Linked DNA regions of Drosophila melanogaster. The gene in region 4 interacts genetically with the main gene of each other region. Each region holds a gene or a part of one and is shown on either strand. Other genes may lie near its edges.

What was found.
Region 1: of wupA (region 4) and SPARC, changing one suppresses a phenotype caused by changing the other (phenotypic suppression), as found in Drosophila melanogaster (one study listed by BioGRID).
Region 2: of wupA (region 4) and SERCA, changing one suppresses a phenotype caused by changing the other (phenotypic suppression), as found in Drosophila melanogaster (one study listed by BioGRID).
Region 3: of wupA (region 4) and Tm2, changing one suppresses a phenotype caused by changing the other (phenotypic suppression), as found in Drosophila melanogaster (one study listed by BioGRID).

What each region holds. Positions count from the first base shown.
Region 1 is NT_033777.3:26,868,738-26,875,407, forward strand, and holds SPARC (secreted protein, acidic, cysteine-rich), read right to left. Parts: upstream 3,259-6,670; 5' UTR 3,189-3,258; intron 1,831-3,188; exon of another isoform or gene 1,773-1,830; intron 1,636-1,772; 5' UTR 1,618-1,635; coding exon 1,456-1,617; intron 1,394-1,455; coding exon 641-1,393; 3' UTR 501-640; downstream 1-500. Other genes in the region: Rb97D (ribonuclear protein at 97D), read right to left, coding at 5,128-5,279, 5,334-6,053, 6,120-6,364, 6,437-6,666.
Region 2 is NT_033778.4:23,929,149-23,938,239, forward strand, and holds the start of SERCA (Sarco/endoplasmic reticulum Ca(2+)-ATPase), read right to left. Parts: upstream 6,737-9,091; 5' UTR 6,677-6,736; intron 6,533-6,676; exon of another isoform or gene 6,432-6,532; intron 4,937-6,431; exon of another isoform or gene 4,761-4,936; intron 4,593-4,760; exon of another isoform or gene 4,543-4,592; intron 4,297-4,542; exon of another isoform or gene 3,667-4,296; 5' UTR 3,637-3,666; coding exon 3,519-3,636; intron 3,444-3,518; coding exon 3,426-3,443; intron 3,341-3,425; coding exon 3,258-3,340; intron 3,182-3,257; coding exon 1,010-3,181; intron 951-1,009; coding exon 835-950; intron 771-834; coding exon 534-770; intron 470-533; coding exon 352-469; intron 284-351; coding exon 83-283; 3' UTR 1-82. Other genes in the region: CG3735 (uncharacterized protein), read right to left, coding at 8,320-9,091. UniProt on the Drosophila melanogaster protein: This magnesium-dependent enzyme catalyzes the hydrolysis of ATP coupled with the transport of calcium.
Region 3 is NT_033777.3:15,307,473-15,316,276, forward strand, and holds Tm2 (tropomyosin 2), read left to right. Parts: upstream 1-2,772; 5' UTR 2,773-2,827; intron 2,828-3,204; exon of another isoform or gene 3,205-3,601; intron 3,602-4,562; exon of another isoform or gene 4,563-4,722; intron 4,723-4,903; exon of another isoform or gene 4,904-4,927; 5' UTR 4,928-4,980; coding exon 4,981-5,574; intron 5,575-5,636; coding exon 5,637-5,814; intron 5,815-6,118; coding exon 6,119-6,201; 3' UTR 6,202-6,548; intron 6,549-7,055; coding exon of another isoform or gene 7,056-7,138; 3' UTR 7,139-7,725; downstream 7,726-8,804. Other genes in the region: Tm1 (tropomyosin 1), read left to right, coding at 118-203. UniProt on the Drosophila melanogaster protein: Tropomyosin, in association with the troponin complex, plays a central role in the calcium dependent regulation of muscle contraction. May also regulate motor systems required to maintain nuclear integrity and apico-basal polarity during embryogenesis.
Region 4 is NC_004354.4:18,112,809-18,119,178, forward strand, and holds the start of wupA (wings up A), read right to left. Parts: upstream 4,018-6,370; 5' UTR 3,899-4,017; intron 1,927-3,898; exon of another isoform or gene 1,839-1,926; 5' UTR 1,818-1,838; coding exon 1,803-1,817; exon of another isoform or gene 1,798-1,802; intron 1,725-1,797; exon of another isoform or gene 1,636-1,724; intron 1,115-1,635; coding exon 932-1,114; exon of another isoform or gene 922-931; intron 768-921; coding exon 639-767; intron 574-638; coding exon 450-573; intron 1-449. UniProt on the Drosophila melanogaster protein: Troponin I is the ATPase inhibitory subunit of troponin in the thin filament regulatory complex. Involved in the development and maintenance of muscle and nervous system. May also be involved in the cytoskeletal apparatus.

The DNA.
Region 1 (6,670 bases), on a different chromosome or scaffold from region 4:
CTAGCATCTCCCCAACACTCACATACATACAAACAAAAAATACAAACACACAAAACGTATTTACCCGCACGCATCCTTGGCGAGGTTGAGTATGAAACAAAAACAAAACTTAATTTAGAGCAAAGTAATTACACGAATAAATTTAATAAAAAAAACTATAATAAAAACGCCAATCATGTTATTTCCAAAAAAAAAAAAAAAAAAAAAAAAAACTAGACGAGATGTTTGCGCTTGTGTCGATGAATGTAAAGAATTGCAACTACATAGATGGTAATTAATTTCAGCTGTAAGAAGTACAAGTTTTTCATAATTGTGAGAAAAGTGCAGTAGTATCGCTTAAAGTTCAGTTTTAATCAGGGCATTTAGCAGCTCGAACCCAATGTATTTGTAAGCCCAATAAACGTGTAAATGCCTAGAGCAAAATATCACAACTGTAGCTTTTCATCCGAAAGATAATAATGAATAGACTGACCTGACGTTTTTCAAAATGCGTATTATTTCAAAGAAGTTGTTATATATTTCATTGAATAGCGAGCATTTACACAATTAACTGCTAAATTAGACATTTTTCGGATTAAGGAAGCAAGTAGTAACTACCTATTGCATACTACAGAAGTGGATATGGAAAATGGGCTGTGTCCTAACCCAGAAGATGGGGCTGAGCCCGCTGGACGTCGTCGCAACGCTCCTTGAGGTCCTCGGGATCCAGCTCCAGGCAGGCGCCCCACTCCACCAGGGTGATGCGATGGTCCTTGTTGGAGTCGCAGGACTCGAGGAAGGGTGCGATGCAGTGCTCGAGACTGACCAGCGGAGCACGGATGGGGAAGAGCTCGTGGCGCGAGACGGAGCGATCGGTATCGCCGTCCAGGTCGCACCACTTCCACACGGCGGCGTTCGACCAGCGACGCGAGTTGTTGGTCTCCGCCTCCAGCTCCATCTGCATGTAGTGCTCGGTCAGCTCGTCGCGCTCGGCCAGGTCGCGCATCACGTTGAACAGCCAGTCGCGCATGCGCCTGGGGAAGTCCTTCAGGTCCTCGCCCTCGCAGCTCCTGGGCTCGTGGCAAGCGCCGTAGTAGTCGATGTGCATGTGCGCGTTGTCCGGATTGGTGCAGCCGGGCTCGCCGCTGTCGCACCAGCAGCGCTGCTGATACACAGAGCAGTCCGACGGCCAGGTCTCGTTGGTATTGGTGCAGACCAGGCGGCGAGTGTCCACCTCCTCCGGGCACTCCGGAATGCACACGCATTTGGGCTTCTCGTCGTGCATCTGGCAGATGCGACCGGCTCCGCAGCTCATCGTTTCGCACAGATCCACCTCGACAACGGGATTGAGTAGATTGTGCTGCACTTCGGCCAGCTTGGTGGCAATCTCATTCTCGCGCTCAATATCCTTGATCTGCGAATGGAATTCAGTTAGTGCATTAAGTGTGATTTGTGGTTTGACTTGCGGCCACATGCCTTGTTCTTCTCCTCCAGCAGGCGCAGGAACTCCTCTTCGTTCTCATCGATGTCGGACAGGTCGAGGTCCTCATCCAGCAGATCTTCGGAAAACTCCGTAGAGGCCTGGACGTGGCTCACAGCCAGCAGGCCCAAGCCGAGCAGCAGCCAAAGGGAGCGCATCTCGAATGGCGATCTCAACTACAGGGATTGCAAGTAAAGCATCTTTAAAACACCTTTTTCTTCTCTTTATATTTAAACTATATATTTGGAACTAAAAGTGCCTTTATAAATAGAGTACATTATCAAGTCATTGCGATTGTGAAAACCCAAATTACATTGAGATTAGCTGTGGCCCTGGCCCAACTTCCGTTTCAAGGATTGGTTTGCGACTGTACCGTGTGCGCTGCGTCGTTACTGTACTCCACTGGCGATCTTGTAACCACCAAACAACGGGGTGGTTTTACATGCACATCTCGTGCGGCGTCTTTTTGCTCATTGAAAACAATTGAAGAAGCCGCAAAAATCTTGCAGGGTTCAAAAGGTCAACGCGAATGTGGCGCGCAGATACAGATGCATTTCCTTTTATGGGCAATTTTATTTATGGATCTTTAGATCTTGTGGAACAACAAAGCCAACTCATTGATGGCGGAAGATGACTACTGCAGATCTGGAGTTTTTAAAATAGAAACAAAGTCGGGGGAATGGATAAAATCTCAGAATTTTCAATGTTTGCTTTTCATTTCCTGCTGCCTGCTGCAAATAAGCATTTTTCTCGCTTTTTGCAACCGCAAATTTGAAATATGTTTGAATATTTCAGAATTTGGGGCATGTTGAACACATGTTGAGCAGTTCAAATCGTTTATGAAATCATCTATATATGCAGATGCTCCCATTAATGCGAATATACCTGATTAAAGCTGACCTTAATCCTATTGCTAAACACACACACAGGCTAAACTCAAGCCGAATTTTCGTAATCATTTCAAGATGTCGCCCCAGTTCTATGCTCAATCTTAGTACATGTGCTATATGGCATATATGGCACATCATTGGTTGCCCAACGACACAGTTGGCTTATCAGGTTCCAGCCCGACTTGGCCCCACCGCCGCTTATCAGGATCGGTCGGTCGCTTCCGTTTTGGGTAGCACAAGCAAGATGTGCTTAATCGTCGCTTTTGTGCCGCTGAACATCAAGTCAAATGCGCAGCTATGTATCTGGCAATTGAGAAATGTATACGCGATCTCGCGGAATGGAGCTTCCAGGAATATCCGAGAGTGGGATGCTGCTGCAGTGCATTCCACATGTTGCACACATATATATCTATGTATACAATGCAATATATACTTCCACATGTGTTTGTTTAATTATGCCGACGAAACTAGAAACAATGACGTGATGCAGTGTCCAAGATGCAATGTTTATGCATCGCGAATGAAAGTGGACCAAAAGCAGATACAATCTACTTGAATTGGCGGAAGTGCAATTCACAGTTGACCTTGCAAATCACTGGACTTACTTTTGCTTCTCAGTTCTGACCAATTAACGAACTGATTTCATCGAAAATAAAGTCCAATTGATTGACTATTTGCCAATGAGCAAGGAACATTGAACTTGAGCAACTCGAGCCAGAGCTGAGCTTGCAGAAATTTGAGGAACAAGCAAAGTATCTGTATCTGCATATGTCACACACTTGTTTTGTTAATCCGATTACGACACTCAATCCTTTGTTTCACTCTGCGTGAGTACTCACTGTGCGTTCAATGAAAAAGTGTTTCCCTTCAAATGTCTAATCGCGTTGGCGGATGGCAGGCGACTGTTTGCCTGTGGAAAAGCTTCGGAATGATTACGGATCGCCAAAGTGGAGCATGGAGCACTGCCTGCCCATGGTTTTGGTGTCGCCTCCAACGTGTTGGCTCCCAACATGTTCGCTTGGAATAAAAACACTGATTGCTTCGATTTTGGCAGCTCTTTTTTATTGGTTTCTTGCTTTTCAACACATAAAATAAATCGTGTCCTCTTCTACGTACCTCATAGTTTATGGGAAACTTGAGCCTTGGTCTTTTGAAATAGGCCACTCCAGCGTTGCTCCGGGGGTTTATTTTTTTTTTGGAAAAGAAATAGGTTGTTTGCTTAGAAAAGCGTAATAAAGATTCGATAACAAGATACACATAAGTTAGAAACTTAAGAGCACTTATAAAAACTCTAGTTTATCCTAGATGAGATCCGTTACTAACTTACCTTACGAATTAACTTTGTCTCAAGAGTATTTTGTAGAGTAGAGTATGTTTAAAATTAGAGCGATATTTGTTTGTATCTAGAATGGCATAACGGTAACTAAATATAGTTTATGCTATCGCTAAAGAGAAAGAGACTTACATATCGTCAGCTAAAACAAATACATAGTGTTGTTTTTAATTTGTATTTATTTAAAATAAATATGCGTATGGGTTTTCATAGAGTTCGGTTAAGTGATAAATTGTATCTCGATAATGCAGCATAACGAATCTTGCAAATTGTGGACTAGACCTCTCTTATTTCAGTACTGCATTATATATAAAGATCAATTCAAAGCCCTTGGCGTGCACAACAGCTTAATAATAGGAGAGAGTCGAGAATAAATCGTAAGTCTAGTTAATCCGAAAGCATATACATTTTCTTCGCATTTTTTTCGGGTATATACACTTCTTTGAGTTCGTCATGATATACAAATAAGAAGAGATATATGTAGTATATGAATTAACATCGTGGGCGACGAGATAAGAAACCTTTAACATTAATACAGTATATAAGTGTCCGATTCTTGCTTCTTGTAAAAATTGACATTTGTTTTGATATCATCTCTTGTGTACATTAATAGTTAAGGCCACGCCCGCCAGCCCTGCGTATGATTTGATTTGATTTGGGATCCGACTTCGCTCCGGATTCTTATATTCTTGTTTCTTGTTTCTTGTGTTTTTTTTGTTTGGACGTATCTTCTTATTTGAATGGTTTAGGTAATACATAGGCATCTACGATTAAACTACTTGTTTTGGGCCAATAAGCTCAGGCTACAGCTCCGTGATTTATGTCTAATTAATTGATCTTGATTGGCAATTGTTCTTCCATCCTCCACCATTGCACAATCCTTCTTCTTGTTTTACAGATAGAGAGAGAGGTTTAGATTTAAATAGAGAGCCTGTTGTAATTTCGTATCGTATTTTGGGCATTCTTCTACGATACAGAGTTTCATAATTATGTCTAGAGTAATTCGAACTGGAGAAGTGCTCGCTCCTCGCAATACGTTGTATAAAATAGTTATATATAGTCTGCCATAGCTTAGGTCAATCGTAGGGTAATCAATGGTATAGCTTAAGTGTACAGTAAAATCGTAGTTAGTTGTCCTATGATAGAGAGACAATGCGTTAAGTTTCCTGCTTAGTAACTCTAAGCGAGTGTGGCCTAGCTTATGAACGAGCTTACTAAAGAGTGTCTTGATTCTTGAGCTTTAGCCGCCCAAAGAGCATCTAAATCAAAGAGAATTTTAGACATTAGTAATTACACATAAACAAGTACTTCAGACGTAGTGCATCAATGGCGAGTAATATATGCGTATATGGATATATTCGTGGCAAGACGTATTTGAGGTAGCTCTTATGCATAGACCACATTCAAAAGAAACGACTAATGGCGGGTACGGCTACTCACCCAATCTAGCGGCGATATTTGCTGTTGGCACTGCCTCCAGTGGCCACGGAGCCATTGGATACGCCAACAGCCTTGGCCCCAGTTGGCGGCGGAACGCTTCCATTAGGCGGCAGTGGTCCAGCGTTGTAGCCCGTATATGCTGGTGGTTGAGGAGTGTCTACAATTAGTAGCTGTTCAAAATTACATGTCTTTAATAATGGATTATACCTACGGTAGCTGTTGGGCGGACCTGCCGAGTAAGGATTCATGCGGTTTGCATTCATATTGTTGTGCTTGGATGGTCCGCCTCCGTAGTTTTGCTGATAGCCAGTGCCGAAATTTGGTTGTGGTGTTGGCTGTTGCGAAGACTGCTGCTGGTGGGATGGAGGAGCTGCACCCGGCACTGGGGGCGGCATGTTCCAGTTACCTGGAGCCGTCGGCGGTGGTCCATTGTGACCCATGGGTGGTGGCACTGCTCCAACCGGCGGCACCTGTTGCACTGGTGGAGGACAACCCCACTGGTTGGCGTGCCACTGCTGGGCACCCGGTGGTGGCGGTGGTGGTGCATTCCAGCCATTTTGTTGCGGCGGCGGATATGGACCCCAGCCGTTCATCTGCTGCGGCGGTGGCTGCTGGTAGTAGGGCGGCATAGCCGGCGGAGGTGGTCCCCAGTAGTTGAAGTTTGGTGGTGGAGCAGACATAGGCGCCGGTGGTGGCTGTTGTTGGTAGGGGCCCATGGCCTGTTGTGGCGGCACTGGTGGTCGAAAGCTAGGTGCCTGCATATTGCCATTAGGTGGCTGCTGTCCGCCACCCTGCTGTTGCTGCTGCTGATTGAGCGACGGCTTGATGGCGTTGGCCAGCCCACCTGGCTGCTGTTTCTCCTTCTTGTCCAGGTTATAAATGGACTTCTTGACGTCCACGTGAACGTACTTAATCGCATGTTGCTTTTTAACTAAACGGGATGAAGGTTCATAATTAATATCAATCTAATATTTAGCATTTTAGCTTTTATGCTTACGGATAGCCTTATCCACTGCATCGTAGTCGTCGAACTCGACGAAGGCGAAGCCGCGACGCTTGCCAGTGGTTTTGTCAGTAAGCAATTTAACGGAGACTACATTCCCGAATTGGAGGAAGTATTCACGAAGGCATTCCTCATCGTGGTTATCCTTAAGACCGCCTACGAACAGCTTCTTCACGGATATATTGGTCTCGCGCGATTCGCGTTCGGGACGGGGCAGAGCACGCTTGGCTTCCACAGTTCTGGAAGCGAAAGGCCTCATGGTATAGATCTATTCTTGGTACGATATGATCCCCCACCAAGTCTATACTCACTTGCCGTCGATGATGTGCGGACGGTTCTCCTGGGCCCTGTCGACCATGAGAGACTTTGTGTAGGTGATGAAGCCGAAGCCGCGAGATCTCTTGGTGGCAGCATCGCGCATCACCACAACATCGACCACCTTGCCCCACTGGCCGTAGAACAACTTCAGGTTCTCCTCGGTGGTGTACGGGGCCAGCCCGCCGATGAAGAGCTTACGCAAGTGCTCCAGCTCGCATATGTCCTAC
Region 2 (9,091 bases), on a different chromosome or scaffold from region 4:
TCTTGTTTCTGTTTATATTTAGTAACATTTTATACTAGAAATTAGAATAATGAAGTTGGGCTTATGGATTATAATTATATTCTTAAAGCATCATAGCGTACAGCAGGCCAAAGAAGACAGCCCACATTAACACAATCCCATGCATCTTATATATAGGACTCTCACCATCTGCGATTTTTCTAGCAACAAACTTCAATGTCTCATCTAATAAAACTACAGGAATTGAGAATTTCATCACAGTTATCCATTCTTCTGCAGACAACGGTGTCACTTGGAAGACGGTCTGTGGGTAAAACGATACTGGCATTAGTTTCCGCGGCGCAGAAGGGCTTATCATTGCCAAATACTTACGGAGAGGACATCGACGTAAAGAATAACAAAGTGAAGAGTGAAGGAGAGTGCCATTGATCCAATCAGCCACAGGTTGCACCATGGGGGCATGGTAATCAGCGACTGGTTCTCGGACAAGCTGTTTAAACAAAGGCGATCGGTTCGTATCTATCGTGCCGTCCATCATTCGTTATCTCACTCACCTGTTCATTGCGTTCAACATTTCGATTGTCACCAGCACGGACAGAGCCATGGTCATCGCATGGGGGTCGCTGAAGATCTTGCAGTCAACGCCCTTGAACTCGTCGCCACCGCCCAAGCAGGACAGATGGTGGGTCAGCTGCCAGTAGGACAGTTTGGGTCCCTCATCAGAGAACACGAACCACCAGGCGGCGGCACCGACGGTGGCAGCGCCGACATAGAATCCAATAGCCATGTAACTAAAAGTTCGATTGAGGCCAAGTTAATACCGATTAAAGGATGTGTGCTTTTTGAGTAACCCACCGGAAGAACAACCATCCGGAAATGAGACCCTCATCGGCCTTCCTGGGGGGCTTCTCCATGATATCCAGATCAGGGGGGTTGAAGCCCAGAGCGGTGGCTGGGAGACCATCAGTAACCTGTGACCAAGTACCTATTACTAACCATTTTAAGTAGTAAATACCCCATCAAGACGTACCAAGTTAACCCAGAGCAGCTGGACGGGAATCAGAGCCTCGGGCAGGCCAAGGGCAGCAGTAAGGAAGATGGAGACGACCTCACCAATGTTCGAAGAGATGAGGTAGCGGATGAACTGTTTCATGTTGTTGTAGATAGCGCGACCTTCTTCAACGGCAGACACGATGGAGGAGAAGTTGTCGTCAGCCAGCACCATTTCGGCGGCAGACTTGGCGACGGCGGTACCAGAGCCCATGGCAATACCGATCTCAGCCTTCTTCAGGGCGGGGGCGTCGTTCACACCATCACCAGTCATAGCGGAGATTTCGTTCATGCTCTGCAGGAACTCAACAATCTTGGACTTGTGCTGGGGCTCCACGCGGGAGAAGAGGCGGGAGCGGGCGACGGCAGCCTTTTGTTCGGTGGGGGAAAGGTCGTCGAATTCACGACCCGAGTAGGACTTGCCAGTGGTGTCCTCATCCTCGGCGAATACACCGATTCTGCGGCAGATAGCCTCGGCAGTGGCCTTGTTGTCGCCGGTGATCACAATAACACGAATACCGGCGGCACGGCAGCGGACAATGGAATCGAAAACTTCCTTACGGGGGGGATCCAACATGCCCACAACACCGACGAAGGTCAGGTTAACCTCATACTGGTAGAACTTGGTGGAGTCGCCCAGATCCATCTCGTCGGGCTTCATGGGGCTATCGGCAACGGCCAGAGCCAGGCAGCGAAGGGTGTCGCGTCCAGTACCGTACTGGCCGGTCAGGGCGAGGATCTTGGCCTTCAGGGCCGAGGTCAGAGGAACCTTGGTGGTGCCAACGCGGGCGTGTGTGCAACGCTCTAGAACACCCTCGGGGGCGCCCTTCACGAACAACTTGGGGCCAGTGCCCAGGCGGGAAGCCTTCAGGGGGGTGCAGTACGAGGACATGGATTTACGATCGCGAGAGAACTCCAGGGTGAATTCCTTCTTCCACTTGGTTTCGATCTCACCGCGGCAGGCGATGGCAGCCGAGCGGCGGTCCAGGCCAGACTTGTTCACGCTGAAGCTGTTCAGTTTCTCAGCCAGCACAATCAGGGCGGTCTCAGTGGCTTCGCCGACCTTCTCGAAGGCCTGCTTGAACTCATTGTAATCAATGGCGGAGTCGTTGCACATGATGCAGATGGTGGACAGTTCCTGCAGGGTATCGTAGTCAGCAGCCTTGATGCGCTGACCGTTGAGGAAGACCTCGCCGATGGGCTCGTAGGTGGAGCCGGTCATCTCGAATTCGAGGAAGCTGCTGTCGTTGCCTTCAACCTTGTCGAAGATGAACATGCGGGAAACGGACATTTGGTTGGTGGTGAGTGTGCCGGTCTTATCAGAGCAGATGACAGATGTGCAGCCCAGGGTCTCCACGGAGGGCAGGGAGCGGACGATGGCATTCTTCTTGGCCATGCGGCGGGTGCCCAGAGCCAGACAGGTGGTGATGACGGCGGGCAGACCCTCGGGGATGGCAGCCACAGCCAGAGCGACGGCGATCTTGAAGTAGTAGATGGCACCCTTGATCCAGGAGCCTCCGTGAGCGGGGTCGTTGAAGTGGCCGATGTTGATGGCCCACACGGCAACGCAAATGACGGAAATGACCTTGGACAGCTGCTCACCGAACTCGTCCAGTTTCTGCTGCAGGGGGGTCTTGATCTCCTCGGTCTCGGACATCTCAGTACGGATCTTGCCGATGGCGGTGCTCAGGCCAGTGCCGATGACGACGCCACGGGCCTTGCCGGCTGCGACGTTGGTGCCGGAGAACAGGATGTTCTTCTTGTCCTGGTTGACGGCGCGGGGATCGGGGATGGCATCGGTGTGCTTGATGACGGAGACCGACTCACCGGTGAGGATGGACTGATCGATCCTAAGGGTGGTCGAGTAGATGTGGGTGATACGGATATCGGCAGGGATCTTGTCACCGACAGACACCTCAACCAGGTCACCGGGCACGATCTCTTTCGCGCGCACCTTCTGGATGCCGGACTTGTCCTGGCGCACCACCTTGCCCATCTCAGGCTCGTACTCCTTGAGGGCCTCAATGGCCGACTCGGCGTTACGCTCCTGCCATACTCCCACCACGGCGTTGGCTATCAGGATAAGTAAAATAACTAGGGGCTCTACAAATGCAGTGAACGTTTCCTCGTGTTCCTCAAACAGGGCGAGAACCTGGGGATTGCAGAGGGGAAGAGTGTGGTCGTAACTAAGTTTTTGAGGGTGGGTTTCTTTGTGCTGCTGCACTTACAAATGAGATGATGGCTGCCAACAGCAGAATCTTCACCAGCAGATCGTCGAACTGCTCCAAGACCAGCTGCCAGATGCTCTTTCCTGTGGAATACAATCGTTATTATAATGTATGCATACAGTGAAGTGGGGGTGGGGGGCAGGGGATCTGCTCGGGTTGTGTTCGCACCTTCCTCAGTCGGCAACTCTGTAACGATAAGAAAACAAACACGTCAGTCGATTCGGTCTCGGAATGTGGAGGGGAATTACGCGCGACTCTCACCATTGGGTCCGTATTTCTTCTGGTTAGCCTTGATCTGGTCGAGGGTTAAGCCGCGCTCGGGGTCCGTTCCGAAGAAGTTGAGGGACTGTTCGACGGTTTTCGAGTGACCGTCTTCCATCTTGATTCGTTATCCTCTTCGTTCAGTGGCCTGTGTCCAGATTCCGGGGCGATTCAGGTGGGGATTTGAAAGTAGACACAAGGCAAGGGGCTCATTTTAATTCTCTGGCAGGGCTATTTAGCTATTTTGCCGTTTTCTGGGCTCTATTCAACGACTGACTGGAATAGCAAGTGTGTATGCACGTATGTATGCACATACATCTGTACTGGCATGTACGTTTGCAGTTAAAACTACCTCATTAGGTTCTGAATAAGTGGTCGTACATGTGCATGTGCACGGCACTCGGCTCACGGGTACTTTCCAACATACGCACATACACAGGTGCTACATGCTAATTCCCCGATTTCAGGCACTTCTGATCGGGCCCGGACTGGCCACTAAAGTCGCGCAGTTATCGCGCCAACTTAGGATCGGATTGTGCGGATCGGGTCGGAGAATATGCTGGAATATTGCATTACTATGATGGGCTGTTACCCTGGCCAAATCGCTCCGCTTATGAGATTCACACACGTGTCACTTCGCACAACAGACGCAGTTTTCGTTTTTCTATTCTCAGTTTCTGCGGGGGATTGGGGGATCTGGTCCGTAATACGGGTGCTCTGCTCCTACGTTAACCTCGCTAAACGACGCACTGCGTGTGTTAAGTACTTTTTTCCACTGACTCTCTATATAATATAACCCATGGCGCTTTTTTCTGAATATGTGTGCTGATAACTATTGCACTAAGTACCAAGCCGCGATTTACTGCCTATCGCCGTTCTGCCTCACTATGACACGACATTATTCGCACAAGACAGGGCTGACTGAAAACGTATATCGTCCGAGTTACGTTATTTGTGCAGAGCTGCCTCTTTCTCCAACTTTTAAGAATTCTCAGTCCTGGCAATTATTAGATAATTATCCCACCTTTTAGCTCAGCTTCTACTGACGCGTTCAATTTGTGCTACTAAACTGCGATAGCCGGCGTTATCGATAACTGAGAATCTCAACTGCGATGGCTAACTGTTGAGTTTCCGTGTTCAGTAATACCGATAGCTGAGGTGATATAGGAATTTAAAACTAATCAAAGTTTCGAAGGAATTCAGCTGTGCTGGAAAGTTTCTTTATTGGAAAATACCTCTAACCTTATAAATCAAGTTGTTATTGCGATCGAAAACCAAATGTTTTTACTCCCTTCTGTGGTGTAAATCGAACTGAAATCCTTATCACGAATGCTTAAACTTATTTATACATTGTCATATTTTCACTTGGCAAGCGACAGAGACATCCGCACTATTTTGGCCACACAACAAGCAACACTATTCTTTTCGCGCATTTTGTGCTCAAATTAATGAGATCGAGATCAAGAGCCCGCAATAAATAGATCTGGGTGCCAGGTATTCGCCAGCAGCGACATTTTTAAATTTTAATTTTAATCTTTTTCGCGACCAGACACTAGAATCAGGCCATACGGGGAATTTTGAACGGCAGCCAACTCGCATAATACTTGAATATTACGCTGGCTACGTCACAGAATTACATACGTAACTTCTGATAACGAGGTTTCCACCAGTTGCCCGCCCACAAAAGGCGTTAGTTTTCAAAAAACTGTCAATCAATGCGCTCGAATACTACTTATATTTTGAGCACAGAGACGTGTGTTTCGAAAACATCTTCATGCATATAGCCTATATATACCCCTAAAATACACATGTGTGTGTGCATTATGGAGCAAAAAATCGCCTCTGTCCGAGATGGGCTAAAAATAGAGTCCTAGCACCCGAAAAATACAGCTCAATTCTGAACACTCGTAGATATAAAGATATGTACTAGGACCACATAAATAAGTTTGAGTACATATACAGAGAGACGATCGTAGGGAGAAAGATTCCTATTCTGCGCGGTTATATGTACGATTTAACGGCTTATGATATTGCGAGCAGAGATATCTCCATGCTAATGGATGTCGACACTTGTGCGATATGCTGCTTCCCACGTCCCCGAATCCGAATTTCTGATTGACAAGTCCACCGATGGGTTGTATAATAGTGGGTGGGTGGGTTCAAAAATAAGTACAAATGATTGGGCCATGATCCTGGGCTGAATGTACTTATAGAGCTACACGTTTCTGTAAAACTGTCTGTTGGTTTCAGGGATCTTTTGCAACTGAAAGGCAGTCAAATTCACTAACCGATGTAACCACCATTAAGCTATGAATGCGGGTAGTTAAGGAGTTCAAGAGATCGTGTGTTCTATGCTTGTTACAAGGGCTACAGGTACAGTACAAGACATGGATCTTTCGAATTTGGGTACGAATATATTCGCCACGGTTGCGGTTGTGGTTGCATAACCAGATTTTCAATCACAGATACATAGATCTCGGGCACTTGGAAAACTTTACATCTGTGTCGGATCGAATCTATTCGTGGAGTGCTCTCGTATTGGTGACATTCAAATTTTCGATACCATCCGGAGGTCGAGGTCACCGCCGAATCGTCGCCCTTACGGATATTTCATGTATGTAGATAGATCGAACTACGAGCTCTGGACGAGCTCCAGGGTGGCAAAGTAAACTGGGGGCAAACACTTTGAGTTTGAAGCACGGTTTTCGAGTGTAAGAAGCATGTTCGTATGTAGATATGTAGGCATTTCAATAACTTTTGGTTTCCAGGTTTTCTTTTCTTTTGAAAGCGCGCGGACGAATTTTCGATAGTTTTTAGGGGGGTTTATTTGCTTTACCCAATGGTTTTGGCAGTTTGGAGTAATTCACTGGCGTATTCGCTTTGCAGTTGTTGCAGAAAATCAACAAAACTTACAATTATTATTCCTAGCAAAAATTCCGTTATTATATAATAATTTATTTCAGTCGGAAGACCAAGACACAAAGATCGCGCTATTATAACGATCAACGGCAACTGAACGCAAGGAGAACGCTGCGCGATGAGAGTGTCTATTTGAATTACAAAATTCATATATTTTGGCAAAATTCCCAAAACTACATACACTCTCTATTTTGGCCCGGGAAAATACTTTTAGCACGCACAAACTTTTGAGCACTTACCACCTATCCAATCCAATCCAATGCGATCCGAATTCGAATGGTGGCGGTTCAGATCTGCTCGTGCAGCTCGTTCGTACCTCGACGAGGCAGATTCACCGTGGTCCCCCAGAGATTCGTATATGTGGCTAGGTATAGGTGGGAATACCACAATACCACGGGCACACGAGCTCCCCATCCACATACATACATACGTACATATGGCCGCCCGATCTCGGATCCGCGGGAGCGCACGGCCACGAAAGTCTAGAGCAATGGCAATGTGGCGATGCGAGATCACTTGTGGACGTGGATGTGGTTGTGGATGTGGATGTGCCTGGGAGTGTGAGTGCAGACGTATTCCGAGAAATGCACGTGTGTTTGTCTAATATTTAGAAAGTGGTATTTTTAAACCAATCTGGGGAAATTATGCTGGGTTGTGTGGAAGGGTTTGTCACTCAAAGGTGTTTCTACCTTCGGTGTCAGCCACTTCAAGTGGGTCAAGACTTGGGTCCTTTGGTGGGGGGATGGTTGGGAATGATGGCACTGGCACTGACGCATTCCACTTTCGCCGAGCTAGAATCCATCATAGTTATCCATAGCTGCTGCCCTTTGAATATTTTACTTGTCCTTGGCAAATACAACAGATCCCAAATCCCAGCCCAAATACTCATTTCCTCAATCTAGTTGATCTCGATCCATTAACAGCTGAAAGAGCATCCACCAGTCGGCCTGCGAACCCCTAGTTCTTCGTTTGGCTTTTCTGCCTTTTTCCCCAATTTCAGCAGAGACTGGCAGCCGTCGACTATTTTTATTTATAGGCTTGTAATGCCCCTACGGACTCGGACTCTCAGATATTGGCAAGAGCGCTCTCCGCACACGTTTCTGCCGTATGATATCCGCCATCAGCCATCCGCCTTGTGCAGCAGCTATTACGACTTTTCACAGAGACCCCCATAAATATGCATTTGGCTACTATTTTACCTCTATATGTCTAGGCCAGAACTTTTATAAGCTACCTATGTGTATATTTAAAAATGTTGATAAATGACAATGCAGCCAGGAATTTTGATTTATTTTGGGACTGGCAAATCTGGGTTTGATGCGGTTGTCAACCGCTGGATATTGTCTATTTAGGAACTCGGTATATGGTAATGGTTCCAGATTCCAGCAATCTCAAGCAATCAAGCGAAGTGATCATTTAAAAACAAATACAAACTGCAAAATAATGTTTTTTAACACTTAATTGCCTTATAAATGATAACTTTTATTGCATAATGCTCTGGCCAATCTTCCTTTATAAAAAAGGGATATTAAAGTAAAAACAGGCAAAATATATTGAATTCAAATGCATTTTGAATCATTTCATCAATCGGCAAAACACTACTTATGCTGCCTCTTATTACACAACCATTTGCCAATTATTCATTTTTTCATAATTTCAAATTGCGTAATAACAAAGAGAAGACATCGCCACCCTTAACATCAGATCAATCACCTAGCCAGTTCCTCCTAAAATCTCTACGTCACGAAAGTATTTAGGTCCAAAAATAGAGCCACAACTGAAAGTTATCACATACATTACTATTTACTTGCGTTAACATTTAGTATATTCTAATTGACAACTAAATATGTACATATTTCAAAGTCAGCTCTCGTGTAAGCATTTACGTTTTGGTGGAGAAAAGGTAGGAATCCTTTTGACCAGAAGTCAATTTCGCAGCATTCTCACTGCCCACAATGTTACTCAAGCTTAGCAGATCGTACTTTGTGTACAGGATACTGACGGACATTTCGTCCCCAAATCCATCGCGCGGATTTTGATTTGTCTTCAGCATCAGATTGATGATCTCGGAATAGAAGTGCGGAAAGTTGGGCGGCTGGTACATGATCAAGTTCCGGATGCCCTTAATCCGCGTGCGCCGGAAGAAGTGCGCTCTTTCCGAGTACAACAGAACAGATGCCCCGCTGTGGAAGAATATATCTCTCGCCCGGGAAATCTTTTCTTTCTTGGTGTACTCATTTATCTGCACAAAACTGACCATTTCGGTCTTGAAATGGTTGCGTATCCGTACGTAGTCAAAGTAGCTGGGCACGTATAGCATACAGTGCGAGAAACCGGGCTTACTGAATTGGGGCATAATATTCTTGACGAAGTACTGGAACCGATCGTCGAAGGTCGTCTCCACACTGGAGCAATTGATTAGGCGGAAAACCTGATGTATTGGAGTCAGAACGTTCCGGATGTCTCCGTGCTCGACGAGGTTCGAGTCTCGCACCTTTCCCTGGTAGTTGTTGCACTTGCTGTTGAACACTGCCCGGAACTCGGGCAGCTCGTGGGACGAGAAGAACAGGGTTTGGCGGTAGAAACTTGACGCTCCACTCAGGCACCACGTTCGTACCCTCTGGCAATTCGTATCGGGCAGCTTCTGCGGCTGC
Region 3 (8,804 bases), on a different chromosome or scaffold from region 4:
TCAGTTTGTGTCAGGTTTTAAGTGTAATTTTAATGATTTTCAATGAATTTATTTTTATTAATTTTCGTTCCTTACTCTTGCGTTCTTTTATGATTTCCCAAACAACAACTTGAACAGACGACCTCGTCCTGGAGAAGGAGCGCTACAAGGACATCGGAGACGATCTCGACACCGCCTTCGTCGAGCTCATCCTCAAGGAATAAGCGACAACCCGACCTTGACGGACCCTCGCACCCAGACCAAAATCGATCCGCACAGCTATATTTTTGGGCGGCACACCTTTCGATTGTTTGTTACTGTAGTCGCATAATCGTAGGCCCACTGTACTTGTATCTAGTAGCCTGCACTTTTGATTTGTGTGTTCGTAGATGGATAGTTTGTAGATTGATTTTGATCGCGGACCAATTAGAGGGAAGCATCGATGTAATTGTGTATTTGTTTGACTCAAACGTTTTTTATTTATTATTTGTATCCAAACTAAGCAATAAAGCAATCAACTTAAAAACATAAATCCCTATAAACTTGTCACATTTATTTTGTTTATTCCACCTGCTGCAGACGAGGTGAGCAAAGGTAAGGAAAAGTACAAAACCATCGCCCAGGAACTGGAGTACGCCGATCTCAACAACTACTAAGGGAATGAAATCCACTTCATGGGGAGATGAGCAGCAATCACTATGATGAAGACAAATGGAGTCCGAACGCATTCGACGTCCGAATTACAAATTATTTTTAGCATAACACTTCTTCGCCTAAGCATTCCCAAAAAAAAAACAACTTTCTTACATAAGAGCAAGAGTTTTACAATAAAGTAAAAAATACATTTTTAGCAATTACTATTGAAATTTATATGGAGCCTAAAGTTAAAACGAGTTGTGTAACGAAAAGAAACGCTGCCATTTTCCTTGAAACTAAAATTCCAGCTCGAAAAAGTATGTGTAATATTTTGAATACAAAACCCCAGAAAGCCCACCACTCAATATCGTTAATCAGCATCTTCAAATAAAAAACTCAGTTACGCTTAAGCCAGAGTCAATTTTTCTCAACTTTCTGTTGCTTGTGTGTTTTTATGGCAGTTCGCGAAGTGTATCTACAAAATTTCTATGGCCTTTGTATATGTTTAAACAACAAGAATAGGAGATATATTATTAGAATATATAAACGAAGACATATAAATTAAATTTACACATTTGTCATAGCTTTTGTAATTCTATGAAGCGTGCAAAACAAATATAACAATGTATGTATTTTTCTTTTTCAACTCAATATTTTTACGATCAATAAACTGAAATCATTCTTTTGCATATAAAAAATTTCATGGATTTTTTATTTAAACGGTGGGTTGCATTAGTTAAATAATAAAAATATGCACTGATCATGAATCGAATATAAAGGACATAAAGTGTCCTGTTGGTTTCAATCTGCCGGAATATTGTGTATCCTTATTAAAAGTTAATATTGAAATCAAAATCAAATCATGCTTATATCCCAAAACTTATAGGATGTTTTTATTTGTGTTGGAATAACCATATTTGTCACATGTGTGATATTTTAACTCAACATTAAATATTCTTTGGAGCTACATATATAAAAAAAGTTTAAAATAAGCTTAAAGAAGAAGGGTTTTGAAAAATCGAATTTGAAAACTGAATACGTTTGCTCGCCAATTAGTTGTTTTTGAACAGTTTTGAAAATATGAAGTTTCAAACATTTTCCTAAATCAAGAAGAGCTATAAATCAACTAAAATTTGAAGTTATAAAAGTCTATAAATAAAGTGCACAATATTATTGACTTATGTAGGTTTGGCTTTTAAGTAAAATTTATTGCTGAACGAGAATAAAAAGATCGGGAGTACATATAAGTGTAATCCAGAGACTATGAGACATTTGGTGGAATCTTCTTGATATATAATAGTATTAAAGAAGATGTTACGTCACAGAAATATTGAAAGAAGAAGAAAATTGAACTGGATTTTGAGATGAATTGCTAAATGGATTTAGCGAGGTCGGACATATAAATAAAACCCACCATATATATTTATCTTTTAAATATACCTATATAAAAATATACATATATCTATAGAATTTCTTAGTTTAGAGTTTTGATAACAATTTTTCCATATCGTTACTTAATTGGTTATTAAAATAAATAAATTATAGATTTTATTCTTCAGTTATATAGTAAGTTAAGTGGTTTTGTTTTAGCAAAAAATCGAACGGGGACAATTAACACACAAGAAAATCGGATCAATTGCCTTGCATTCGAGACTTTCGAAAGCAAAAGAACGGCAGGAAAACGCTGGCCGATCAAAATTCCAAATATTTCTCAATATTTTTTTACCGAGCGAAAATAGATTTTCATCTTGTTGGACTTTTGCTCTTGCTGCTTGTGGCTATTTTTGGCCGTGTATCTGACGGATACACGCACACACACAGACAGCGAGAGTGCTGTGAGTAAAATATAAATTGAATTTAGATTTAAGAAGCAGAAAGAAAAGCGCATAAATTTCACGAGAATGCAGCCCAAAAGAGAGAGCATCGTATGAAGCAGCTTTTGGGGGAAATTTCGAGGGAAATTTTCGAGATCGCCGAGCAAAGTTGCGAAAGCGCCATTCCACATATACATTTATTAATGGGAAATTTTTGAGGCGAGAAATTATTCAATACCGCGTTGGTGTGTGCCCTCAGTGTGTGTGAGTTTTTCCGATTTTCCGAGTGGCAGTGTGCGTGTGCGTTGGATCTTGGGGTCGCTTTCTGGGCTAAGCAACTTGGTCAGCATCAGTGTTCTCGGGGTTTCGACAGCGTATAGTGTGTTTGAAACGCTAAGGTTGGTCACGCCAGGATTTTCACCCGACAAGAATTAACTCAAAATAAATATAATTAAATCGCTCGCCTTTGCTGCTAACCAAATTGGTATTTTCAACTGGATTTCGAGTGGATAACAAAATTGTGATAAGTGCATGGCATTCAAAATTATAAATTTTGAATTTTCCCCAAACGGGAAAAAAAAGGAAAACCTTGTTAAACTTAAATAAAATGTGCATATGTATATGTGTCAATTAGCCTGGATATAAAGTTCTACAAAAAGTTAAATGAGTGATCCAAATGTAATGGAAGTGAAAATTGCTATAACTAAAAAAATGAATATCTCTAAAAAACTTAAAATGAACGATCTAAACTACTTGAAAATGGAGATCTTATGATCATTTTTCGGATATTTTCAAAATTCGCTTATAAGGAATTTTGTAACTAAATCTGACGGCACCAATACCATCCAATAAATATCTGTGTGTGTGTGAGAGAATTTTTTTTTGCACACACACACATGAGCTTCATTCGGAAAGCTCTACACGAATGGGACACATATACATATGCACCTTACACACTTATGGCACGCACAATTTTCACACACACAATCACACTCGACCGATAAAGTTTTCCTCGAAGAAAATTCTTTAAAATTAACTGCAGACAGACACCTGCCTGTCACACACACACAGACATACGCATTTATTTTTAACTCTGCCTGAAATTTATACGAAAAAGCTTTTCCGTCTAGCTTTCTGTGATCTCAGAAAACGAAGGCAGTCGAGAACTATAGGTATTTATCCTTGAGATTGTTTTCGAGAGAGATATTTTGGAAAATATTAGAGACGTAGACGATTCCCAGATGCGGATACATATGGTATCTATCTGGGAATATATATATTCAAGGCATAGCCACCCACACAGAATTGTAGATTTCAGAGCGAATATTTCTAGCCATTCGTGAATGCGTCCGAAGGCCGCAAAATTTGCCATCTTTAAGATACATATTCGAACTGATTGAAAGCCCAAGTACCTTTGGCAATCACCAAAAATTTTAATGATGTGAAAACTAAGTAGCTATTTAACATATTATAAGTTATTTAAAGTCTTTAGAAAGAAATCCTTTTTACCTCATAAATCACATATTAAACATTGCTTATGTTTTTTTGGGTACAAAACACACATGAGTATCGCAAGACCTCCAAAAGATCAGCAACTACAACATAAATGACTTTGCCCCACTTTGGGTGGTAGCAACATAGATACACGAATTCGAATACGAATACGCCCACACACCAAATGACCCCAAAGAATTGAATACTTTTCAAATTGCAATCGGTGGCGAGCTATGTACATATATATGTGGGGTATTTCGAAATAATAGGGGGAAACTCTAGAATTACATTTAGCACACAATGTCCAAAAAAGCATTTCTCCTATGCGTGTGTGTGCGAGTGGACTGGATATTTTTTTCTCACATGCAAAAGCATATAAAGTTTATTTTTAACCCCACCGAATCGTGCAGCAAATAAACATATAAACATATAGCTCACCGACGGATCCGGATTCGGATTTTGAGTGGGCGTTTTGAAAATGGAAAATGAAAATTACGTGAGATCTTTTGAGAATGCTCGGCGTAGCCGCCAAACAAAATGTGTTTACATTTAATTCTCAAATTTATTGCACGAACACATATGCACAGCATATAGATATATACAATTTAATTATACCTATGGATAACCTATAGAATGCGCCTGGATCGTTTAAATAAACCGATTTTGTCTTGCAGCGGAAACATAAAAATTCTAGAAGTCACAGTAAAGAAACAAAAATGTATAGTCAAAAGAAAAATCCAAGTTCAAAAAATCTGTAATTTATGAAAGGAAATAAACATTGGAATATCTTAGGACCAACGTATATATGTTATAATATATTATTAAGCGGTTCAAAGCTACAATTAGATTTAAATAAAAAAGTCATACATTTTATTAATTATATAATATTATTATTATTATATTATAGTATATATAATATTCTATGCCTTATGAAAATTGCTCCTTAAAAATTGCACATTAAGGATTCAGTTATTCAGCTTACTCATTTGTATTATTTGGCACAGTGCTTTTTTCCAGTTTTCTTCCCTTGTAAGTCAAAAACAAAAACACAAACACCATGGACGCCATCAAGAAGAAGATGCAAGCGATGAAGCTTGAGAAGGATAACGCCATTGACAAGGCCGACACCTGCGAGAACCAAGCCAAGGATGCCAACTCCCGCGCCGACAAACTGAACGAGGAGGTGCGCGATCTGGAGAAGAAGTTCGTCCAGGTGGAGATCGATCTGGTTACCGCCAAGGAGCAGCTGGAGAAGGCCAACACCGAGCTGGAGGAGAAGGAGAAACTCCTGACCGCCACCGAGTCCGAGGTGGCCACCCAGAACCGCAAGGTGCAACAGATTGAGGAGGATCTGGAGAAGTCCGAGGAGCGCTCGACCACCGCCCAACAGAAGCTGCTGGAGGCCACCCAGTCGGCCGATGAGAACAACCGCATGTGCAAGGTGCTGGAGAACCGTTCCCAGCAGGATGAGGAGCGCATGGACCAGCTGACCAACCAGTTGAAGGAGGCCCGCATGCTGGCTGAGGATGCCGATACCAAGTCCGACGAGGTCTCCCGCAAGCTGGCCTTCGTTGAAGACGAGCTGGAGGTGGCTGAGGATCGTGTCCGCTCCGGCGAGTCCAAGATCATGGAGCTGGAGGAGGAGCTGAAGGTGGGTCCTCAAGAGAAATCCTTCTGTTCTCAAACCACTATTCATGGTGTATTCCCAACTAGGTTGTCGGCAACTCCCTGAAGTCCCTGGAGGTGTCCGAGGAGAAGGCCAACCAGCGCGTGGAGGAGTTCAAGCGCGAGATGAAGACCCTGTCCATCAAGTTGAAGGAGGCCGAGCAGCGCGCCGAGCACGCCGAGAAGCAAGTGAAGCGCCTGCAGAAGGAGGTCGACAGGCTAGAGGGTATGTATCCAACTTCCTACGCCCCTGGCACATTCACTCAGCCATTTTCCGCGGAGGTATCTCTCCACGGGACACCGGAGATGCTGTCCACCGGAAGTGATCCGCCTCGAACGGCCGGATCGCTGGCTTCAACTAATGCTCGCATTGTATTTATCGCCATAAGGATATTAATAATTGTACTTAGTACTCTGCTTTCATTAATTGACGTTCCACATTCACACATCTCGCTCGCTCGCCCTTTTTTTTGAATATCTCTCTATATATATATTTGTATAAATGAACAACAAACAAATGCTTTTTGCAGACCGTCTCTTCAATGAGAAGGAAAAATACAAAGCAATCTGCGACGATTTGGACCAGACATTTGCCGAACTTACTGGATATTAAAAAAGATCACAAACAGAACTCACACAATGCCCTTGCCTCCCCCCCCCCCCAACCGCCCCTTGCCCAACTCCCCCAAAAAAAGGAACACTCTCAGTACATCCCGAATCCCACACAGTTTATTATATATATATATATATATTCTATATTATATTTTTGGAACGATTCCCCCAACAGTTTCAGTGTATTTACCACCCAGCCCAACACGCCACACTTATCTATACACTGTAAATAATCTGTTTAGTCCCGCTTGAATGTGGCCACACCCACACGACCAGTTCCCTACGCCAGTACACTGTAAAAATAAGTTCAGATCAAGCCAAACCAAGTTGCAACTGTAGTTAATACAGGTGAATTTATCAATGTAAATATTGTTGTTTGTATGCCAGATTCTTACCCGTTGTGATGTGGCATGACCTCTTGACCCGTCTCGCCTTCGCACTCTATCTCAGTCTATGTCTCTATGTCTCTCTCTCTCTCTCTCTCTCTATCGTCTCGTCGATCATCAGTGGCTTTCGTTCGAGCCAATTTCGCCCAGGCCTTGGTCGAGGGATTCTCTCAAGGATTGCTGCAACGATTGGTTGGATAGATCATGTCCACATCCCGTAGAGCACCCCATAGATAGTCCTGTCCCCCACCTCCCCTGAAAACCCACGCACAGAACCGCTGACTAACCCAAAAGATCAAAAGATAGAAACGCCTGCCAGAACAGCGCGCCACTAATCCTAATCAATAACTCCATAAACTTGGTACACATGGTGTAAAGTTTGAGTGTTTTTCGTTTCAATTCCAATGTTAAAAAACCATATTTTTGAATATTTTCTAACGCATTTCCAACCACCATTTGCACTCCGCAGACGAGTTGGGCATCAACAAGGACAGGTACAAGTCCCTGGCCGACGAGATGGACTCCACATTCGCCGAATTGGCTGGCTACTAAGTTGGCCAACAGTCCCATTATACCAAATCCACACCAGCAGCGGAGGAAGATGGAGACGACGACGAGATGGAGAACTCTACTAATTGTAAACGAATATCTCAAATTGATTTGGCCAACACGAAGATCGGCGGCCGCAGATACCAAGAACAACAACCATTGTGTATGCAATTCTTTATAAATCTATATATTTCATAATAAATAAATAACAACAACAAACAGATCAACAACAGCAACAAAGCCAACGAGCATAGAAAGCAAATGGAAATTCTTTTGTTTTATAAAAAATAAAATTATCTAAAGTCAAAAGTAGCAGAATGTATAAAGTAAACAAAACGAAAACAAGAACACGAATTTTGTATTTTTAAAATCAATGTTTAAAAATATTAAGAAGCGCTTGCAGTCAGGCAATAAGAGCGAGAGAGCTAGAGAGAGTGCCCAGGAAAGAGACGGGGCTAAATTTAAAATTTTAAGATCGCGCTGCCTGCTTTACTTTCAGTTTATATCTTACAATTACACCACAAACAAACAAAAAAACACCCACAAAAAAAGTATAAAAAAATTTATAAAAACTTTGCTAAAAAAAAATTATATGTTTGATGTTTGCTTTCAATGATGCACAAAACCGAATTTCTTTGCCCTTCAGCGAATCGCGCTGAAGTTCACTACATTTTTGGCGGATATGCAAAGTAGTCTTCAGTTTTTTCCACCGATTTCTCATACTCTTGGGAAACCCCATGGATGCTGGGCCGAAATAACCAAGTCCGAAGTGCGTCACCACTTCATCGGAGATGGATCACGATCCGCAAATCGAGGCCTTCATTGCAACATCTTTAGCATCCGCGCTAATTGTCAAAGCAATGAATAATGAAAGTTCAGTTATCTGTATATATATGGCATATATACACATCCTCAGGGTGATTTCCAGATATGAATTGTAGATGTGGGCAGCTCGCCGTTTTGACCATCAATAAGTGAGTTAAGGCCGCGTTCGACATGTGGGTCTGTTGCTCTCTTGGCCAAATGGACTTTCTTGTAAACTGAACTCGAATTGAATTTCCATTTCTCCTCGCTCTTCTCGCGACGTTGGCCATAAAATAGTTATTAAATCGTTAAGTGGTGTGTTAAATTACCCACTTAAAGCGCCAGTCATTATTTACATAATTTACATTATGGTATATGGAAGCTGGCAGATATGTTCATCTTATGAAAAAAAAAGAAAGAGTCATTTCGAGTTTAAAAAAAAAAACTTTTGTTTTTAGCTTTTAAAAAGAAATATATAGAGAACGGTTGATATTTTAAAAGCTGTTATCTTTAAGATAGAAGTTGAAATATGAATGATTATTCCATGTTTATATTGCCCGGGGAGGAACTAGAAAATCGCCTAAGTTACTTTCTTAGTTAACCGCATTCAGAAAGTCATTCCTCACAAGTCGAAGAACACCCAAATGAACATGGCACATCCAGCACACCAAACTCCATTTCATTCAAGTTTAAGCCAGCAGTTTTCGCTTCAATTGACAGCCGCGTCAATTACCTAAGTCTGGGCCAATTTGGTTGGAGTGCAAACAAACAGTGGGTCGGACCGGGCCGGTCCACAAAAGCGGCGAGCGGAGCAGTAGAGATGCCGATGAAAAGCCCAATGACTTACATTTGCCCACCACAGCCA
Region 4 (6,370 bases):
ACGGGCATGGGTGCGGCAAAAGAGAGATAGAGATAGAGACACATTTAGATACATGTTGCACACAGTGGTTCAGGCATAATAAGACTATGGTTCCTCTGCGACGTCAATGTGATCCGATGTGGGAGGTCGGTTATCCTGTGTGTGTTTGGTGTGTGTTTTTGGTGTCTTCGTGTTGGTGTGTTATGTAATTGTATGTATGTATGCGATAGATGACACTTGTTCAACTTTCAGTTATCGATTTTGGTTTATGCTTCGCGACAGGCGGGCTTAAACATATTGAATGCATAAGCCGCCTATCTGTTTTACTGATTGATTTCGTTTATTTCGATTATATGGTTTTTCATCCTTTATACTTTCGAACCGTGACCAGGTGCAGGGAAACCTCTAGGGATTTCCACTCGCCTGATCAGGGATCTTAATCATTCGGTTCGAGGACCGAGGCTACTCACCTTCGCTGGCATCGCTGAGATTCCTGGGACTGCCGCAACGTTCTTCGATGATGCGTCTACGTTCAGCCGCTTTGCGTTCCTGTTCTTTCTTCAGCTCCTCAGCGGCTTTCTTACGCAGCAGCAACTGCAAGTGGAGGGCTTTGATTAGCTGGCGATCATACAAAGCGTTGGTATATGCTGGAAACTTACCCTGAGTTTCTTCTTCCTCTCTGGGGTCATGAAACCCTTCTTGGCCTTCTTGGCCTTGGAGGCTTCCTCCATGCGCTTGCGCACCTCAGCACGCTTGCGCTCGATCTCAGCCTGTTTAGCCTTCTTAGCCTGCAAATTAAATGAACGAACAATCCGGGTATCAGCATGGTTTGCTCACATCCAAAACTGGACACAACACTAGATATGATATTCGAACACAGCACTGCACAGCACGAGACTTGGACTTTGACATGGACGTTAAGTTGAACGGGCACACACGTACACAAGTGTACCTCCTCGGCCTTCACTTTGGGGTCGTTGGGATCCTTGGGCGGACCGGCGGGAGCGGCGGCAGCTGCCGGAGCAGCCTTTCCATTGGCCGCCGGAGCAGCCTTGCCATTGGCCGCCGGGGCTGCTGCCGGAGCCGCCGGTTTGGCCGCCGCCGCTGGAGCTGCGGCCGGAGCTGCTGCCTTTTTCTGAAATCAAGTTAAATGATTGCTGGTTAGTTGCAGTTCTAGGAATCGAAAAAGTACGCCAGGCTAGGAGAAAATTGCTTAAACTTCAAAGGAACTATTAACATTTCTCAATCATCCACAATTATTTAAAGTAATCAAATAGGTTTTAAACTCATTTAAATTATATAAGAATGGTCAGCCAAGTTTTATTGGTTGTAATATTTCATTGATTTTAAACTACTTTAAATAGATCTCAAATTTCTCCAGGCACAAACGCGACGATAACAAAAAAAGGGACAAAGCAAGGCACAGAGACATAGACACACACTAACGATAACAGACATGGCTTTCAGTCAGACTTGACAGTTATCATTATCTGTGCTCCTTGATCGAAAGGAAGAAATGGCTGGGATTCAGAGGGTTGCAAAGCGCAGCGATCCTGTGAAAGCAAGAGAAAGGCAAAGAAAGGCTTGGGTTGCATGTTGCGTGGTTGCAAGTGGGGGGCTGTTGAAGCTTCTGGATTGTTCGGGAGCTTTGCTTACCTAAATCCACATCCAGTCAGGTTTAATCCCGTCCAAATCACTTCCAATTTCCAAAACAGTGCTTGCGATTAATGCCCCAAAATAGTTAACTGAAGAAGAGGGTCAAAGGTTAATCAACCGTTTCTCAAAGGCGGTAGAAAGGGGGCCGTTGGAGATACTCACCTCACCTCATCATCAGCCATTTTGATTTGTGTTTTTGGTTACTGAAAGTAAGAGAAATCGAGAGGTGAACTCAAGGAACTGGAACTGGAGGCAAATGGTGAATGGTGAATGGTGAATGGAAATGTTCGATGACATCATTTCCATTGCCCTATATATACACGGCTATATGTAGGTATATACATATAAGTATGTGTTTATATATATATATATATATGTTCCATAAATCAGTCGCTCTCTCTCCCATTCGCACACGCCTACGATCTCACCGGGGTACCACAGTGCGTATGCGCCATATTGCTGGCATATGCCGCATATTACGTATACGCAGCATTGGTTCACGCCGTATATGGGAGGACAACCCCAGCAAACGCTCATTTTCCCGCTCTCTTCGCTTAGCCTTTCTTTCGCACATTTACTTTGGCGTGGGCGTCTAGCTGCCAGAAAAAGACAACTGTATTGCTTTGTGGCTTTTCTAGTTGCTCTCTTTGATATCCGATTTCAAGTGAGCAAAGAGAGAATAGCATTTCCCAACTGACCGATCTCAGCCAGCTGATTTTGTTAATGGAAACTTTCCTACGATATGTTTTCGTTTTAATCAAGCTAAAAGTTAAATCGTTAGTATAGAAGTAACTTTTACATATGCATACTTGATCAGATGATTGATCGTTGTAATGGCATTTTAAAAATACATTTTATGCTGAATAACATATTGGGAATCTTTAAGTAAACATTATGAGATTTCATCATACGAAAAACCATGTCTACATCTTGAGGAATTAATCAGAATTTATTTGCTAGCCTATCCGTATAGTATGTATATGTATACATTTTTACTGAAATGAAGTCGAAGAATTAACACCTCACAAAGTACATATATAACTTTAAAAAGTCTACTAGCGTTGAAAGTAATCGTTAAACAAATTATCTATGCTGTTAGCAATGAACTAAAATAATGTACAATGAGTCAAAAGGAGATCCGTTATAGATTTTATATCCTTTGGAAGAAGTTGTATATTTTGGGGTTTTCACACCTACAAAGCCATATGGCTTAGTAGAACGAATTGCTAGGGAGCTAGGCGTATATTTAGCCCCAGCAATTTGCGCACCTTAGCGAAGGTAAGGCGTGAAAATTTTCTGACAATGACGACCTTCGGCTATGTACACTGCGAGAAATGCACAACGAATTTAAGCATAGTCGATGTCTCCACTCGGCATACATCTGAGAATGAGAGCGAGTGGGATGGCATCTACTGTATCTAGTATCTGACTGATTTAAAAATAAACCTGTTGATAGATACACGAATCTCGGATGCGAGAAATATGGCAGCTATTTATGATTTGCCGTACAATTTGTTTATATGTTCACGGAAAAAAAATAGTCAAATTGGAGCAACGATATTCGTATCGAATATGAAATCCAAAAGTTCGGAGAGCATTTATCCAGTTATTTTACGTAGGCGACGTGTGCGTGTTGTTTCTCTGTGTGTGAGTGTATGATTTTCTGTGTGTGCGTGTGTGTGTGTGATTTTTCTCTCTCTCGGGATCTCTTGTTCTCGCTGTGGTCTATTTTCAGGCACTTTTCGAGCGATTTTAGCTTTTTTGAAATGTATCTTGTATCTGCGGGATACATTTTTAGCTTTCGGCACGCACACACACGCATACACGCACACACACACGGCAACTTCTTACGTAATTGGCAAGCCAATCCGTGAAAAAAAATTCATTGCAAAATCAAGTCAAAATAATGTTGAAAAGTATTTCGATGCAGTTTTAGACACTTGTTAACTTGTATCACTTGAAAAAAAATAGCAAAAAAATTGTTTGAAAAAAAATGTTTGAATCCTCTGGGCACACGCACACGATTTTGGTCAGGTCCAGACATACATATAAATATAAATATATATATATATATGTATAGCATATGAGAAAGGACTGAGGATTTCACATTTGTTTTTCTTTGCATTAGCATTAGCATTTGCATTTTGCATTTTGCAGTTTTCTGTTTTTCCATTCCGCTTGTTCTTGCATTGTTGCTCGTTGTCAATGTTGATGGTGATGTTTTTCTTGGCTTTTTGAATGTTGCTCCGCTTCAAGCACTCACCTTCAAGGAATTAGAAAAAAAAGAAAAAAAATTCGGCTATGCTGTCGATCACACGAATCGGATGATACTGAACGACACAAAAAGACTGAACGGTCCGACGATCCACGGCAGACTATATTCTAGCGGCTAGCCACCCAACGGATACAGATACGGATCGTTGTTGATCGGATCGCATCGTATCGCATCGTCTCGTTCGGCTCGGTTCCGTTATGTTCCGAAAGCCAAACGTTAGCCGCCCACCTGCCCACCGTCCTTCACGAACGGGCGAGAGCGAGAGAGAGCGAGAGTGGCTCGGGGGCCGGGGTTATGTATCTGGGCGTGAGATCCAAAAATAGATCCCACCAAAACTGACATGGCAGAGCACAGCCCATAAGCAAAATCGAAATGGATACCGAAAAGTGTTCGGCTCACGATCGTCGCAGCCGAGTGGCATGCCGAATCGATTCCGAATCCGAATCCGATTGCGATTGCGATTGCGATTGCGATCCCGATCCCGTAACTCCCGCCCCGTCGGAACTGCAGACCCGTAAACCACCCTATGAAAAATACCGCTTGGAGAATCTTTGTATCTCTGTATCCGCATCGGTGTTCACAATATCGTATCTGCAGTTCGATGTGTGTGCTGGTGTAAACGGAGCCGCTTGGAATTCAATGCAATGGATAAAAATAGGTTTTGTTGCTCCAGTTGGGAGGCTATGCGATGGCGGTGCAATCGGTGTGCAATGAAAAAATCAGGGCCGGCGACTGGCTGCAATCTCTGGTTTCGCCAGCCCTGGTTAAAAAACTATAAAATATTATGCTAATTCTGGAAAATCCAGGGAATAAGCTTGTGCTGGGATATGCATATATTGAATATATATTCATTTTCAATGTAATCTACTTCAACAGCAAATACTAATGAAACTAAACATTATCTTAAAATAGGTGCATGCAGCGTTATTTTAAAGATTAGATTTATAACTCCTATCGAACATTTATCCTCATAAACATAACTAATATTTCGATGAGTTGACTGAATACAAATTACTGTTTTCTTTAGAAGACTGCAGTTTTTAAGAAAAATAGGTTAATAACCCTTACATACATATATTGCTGAAAATATATTAGATAAAATTGGGGAATCCCATAGATTCTTAACTTATTTAATTTGAAGATTATTACTATTTAATCCATCCAATATCATTTCCAGGTCTTAAAGTAATTATTCCGTTTGTGTTCATTTAAAAGGTTTTTCTTAGACCGTGCCACTTTGGACTTGATCTAGAAAAACCATTTTAACGATCTGTTTCATGTTGTTCGGCTATTTATCTTGCATGTTGGCCGCTGACATAACTTTAAGCTTTCGAATAATGTGTTCCAAGCGAATCGTACGAACATATAGCCTATATCCGTCTTGTTAATATCAATGTTTTAGCTGAATTACTTTGGCATCGTCAGTCTAAATATAATGTATATACGCAATATGGCCAAATACACACATACACATATATATATATATATATATATGTATATATATATAAATTTCTATATATAATGGTAAACGGTGCGAATGACGCTGCAACACACCTACTGAAAATCACGCATACGCCCCGTAGACGAAACGCCTTGCAACTTTGGTTGAAAGTAATTTTCGAATTTCGCCAAGAACGAAAGACGAATAAAACGTTTCGATCACGAAACCATGTCTATATATATATATATATATCGTATATGAATTTAGATATACATAGACTGTCTATACGTATGTTCCGATTCTATAAACTTTCAGCAGGGAGAGCAACAACAAAATATTGTTGAAAATAATGTTGCTTTTCCCTGCTCATCTCGTTGTTCTTGGCATTTTGTGTTTCTGTTTGTGTTGCTTGTTTTTGATTTTGCCACGGCTTGTTCTAGCTCTATTTCGAAATGTATTTTCGATGATTTCTATTTTGTTTTTCCCCATTTAAATTTAGAATATGGCTTCCAGGGGGGAAATCGAAAAAACGGCGACTGCGGAAGGGCAGTGGGTTAGCTTGGGGCAAAATGTTTTCGTTATTCGTAGGGAACTTGATCAGTTCGTCTATGTCTGGACGAATCTATTTTCGCCTTCATTCTCGTTCCGAGCGTTTTTAAACAATTCCGCTGCGCGCCCAAGCAATTTTTGCCTTAATTTATGAATTTCGAAAATGTTTTTCGTTTGAAAAAACACTTTTAATATTGTGCCTTATTTTTGGGCCTTTGGCAAACAGGAAATATTGAATCGGACGGGGGTGGGCTATAATGCCGACCAGTATTACTAGAAAAGCGGTAATGTCTTACAGCGTCGAAAATGTGTATACATTGGCAATAAGTAAACTTTAATAAAGCAATGTTGCAACATGGGCGGAATATTTGCACGAATCGAGGCCTTAAAGGTGGGCAGTGTGGTGTGCCCAGTGAATCGAGCTTAATTCGGGGTTAAAGGCGAACCATCGATGGTCAGCTGGCTGCGAG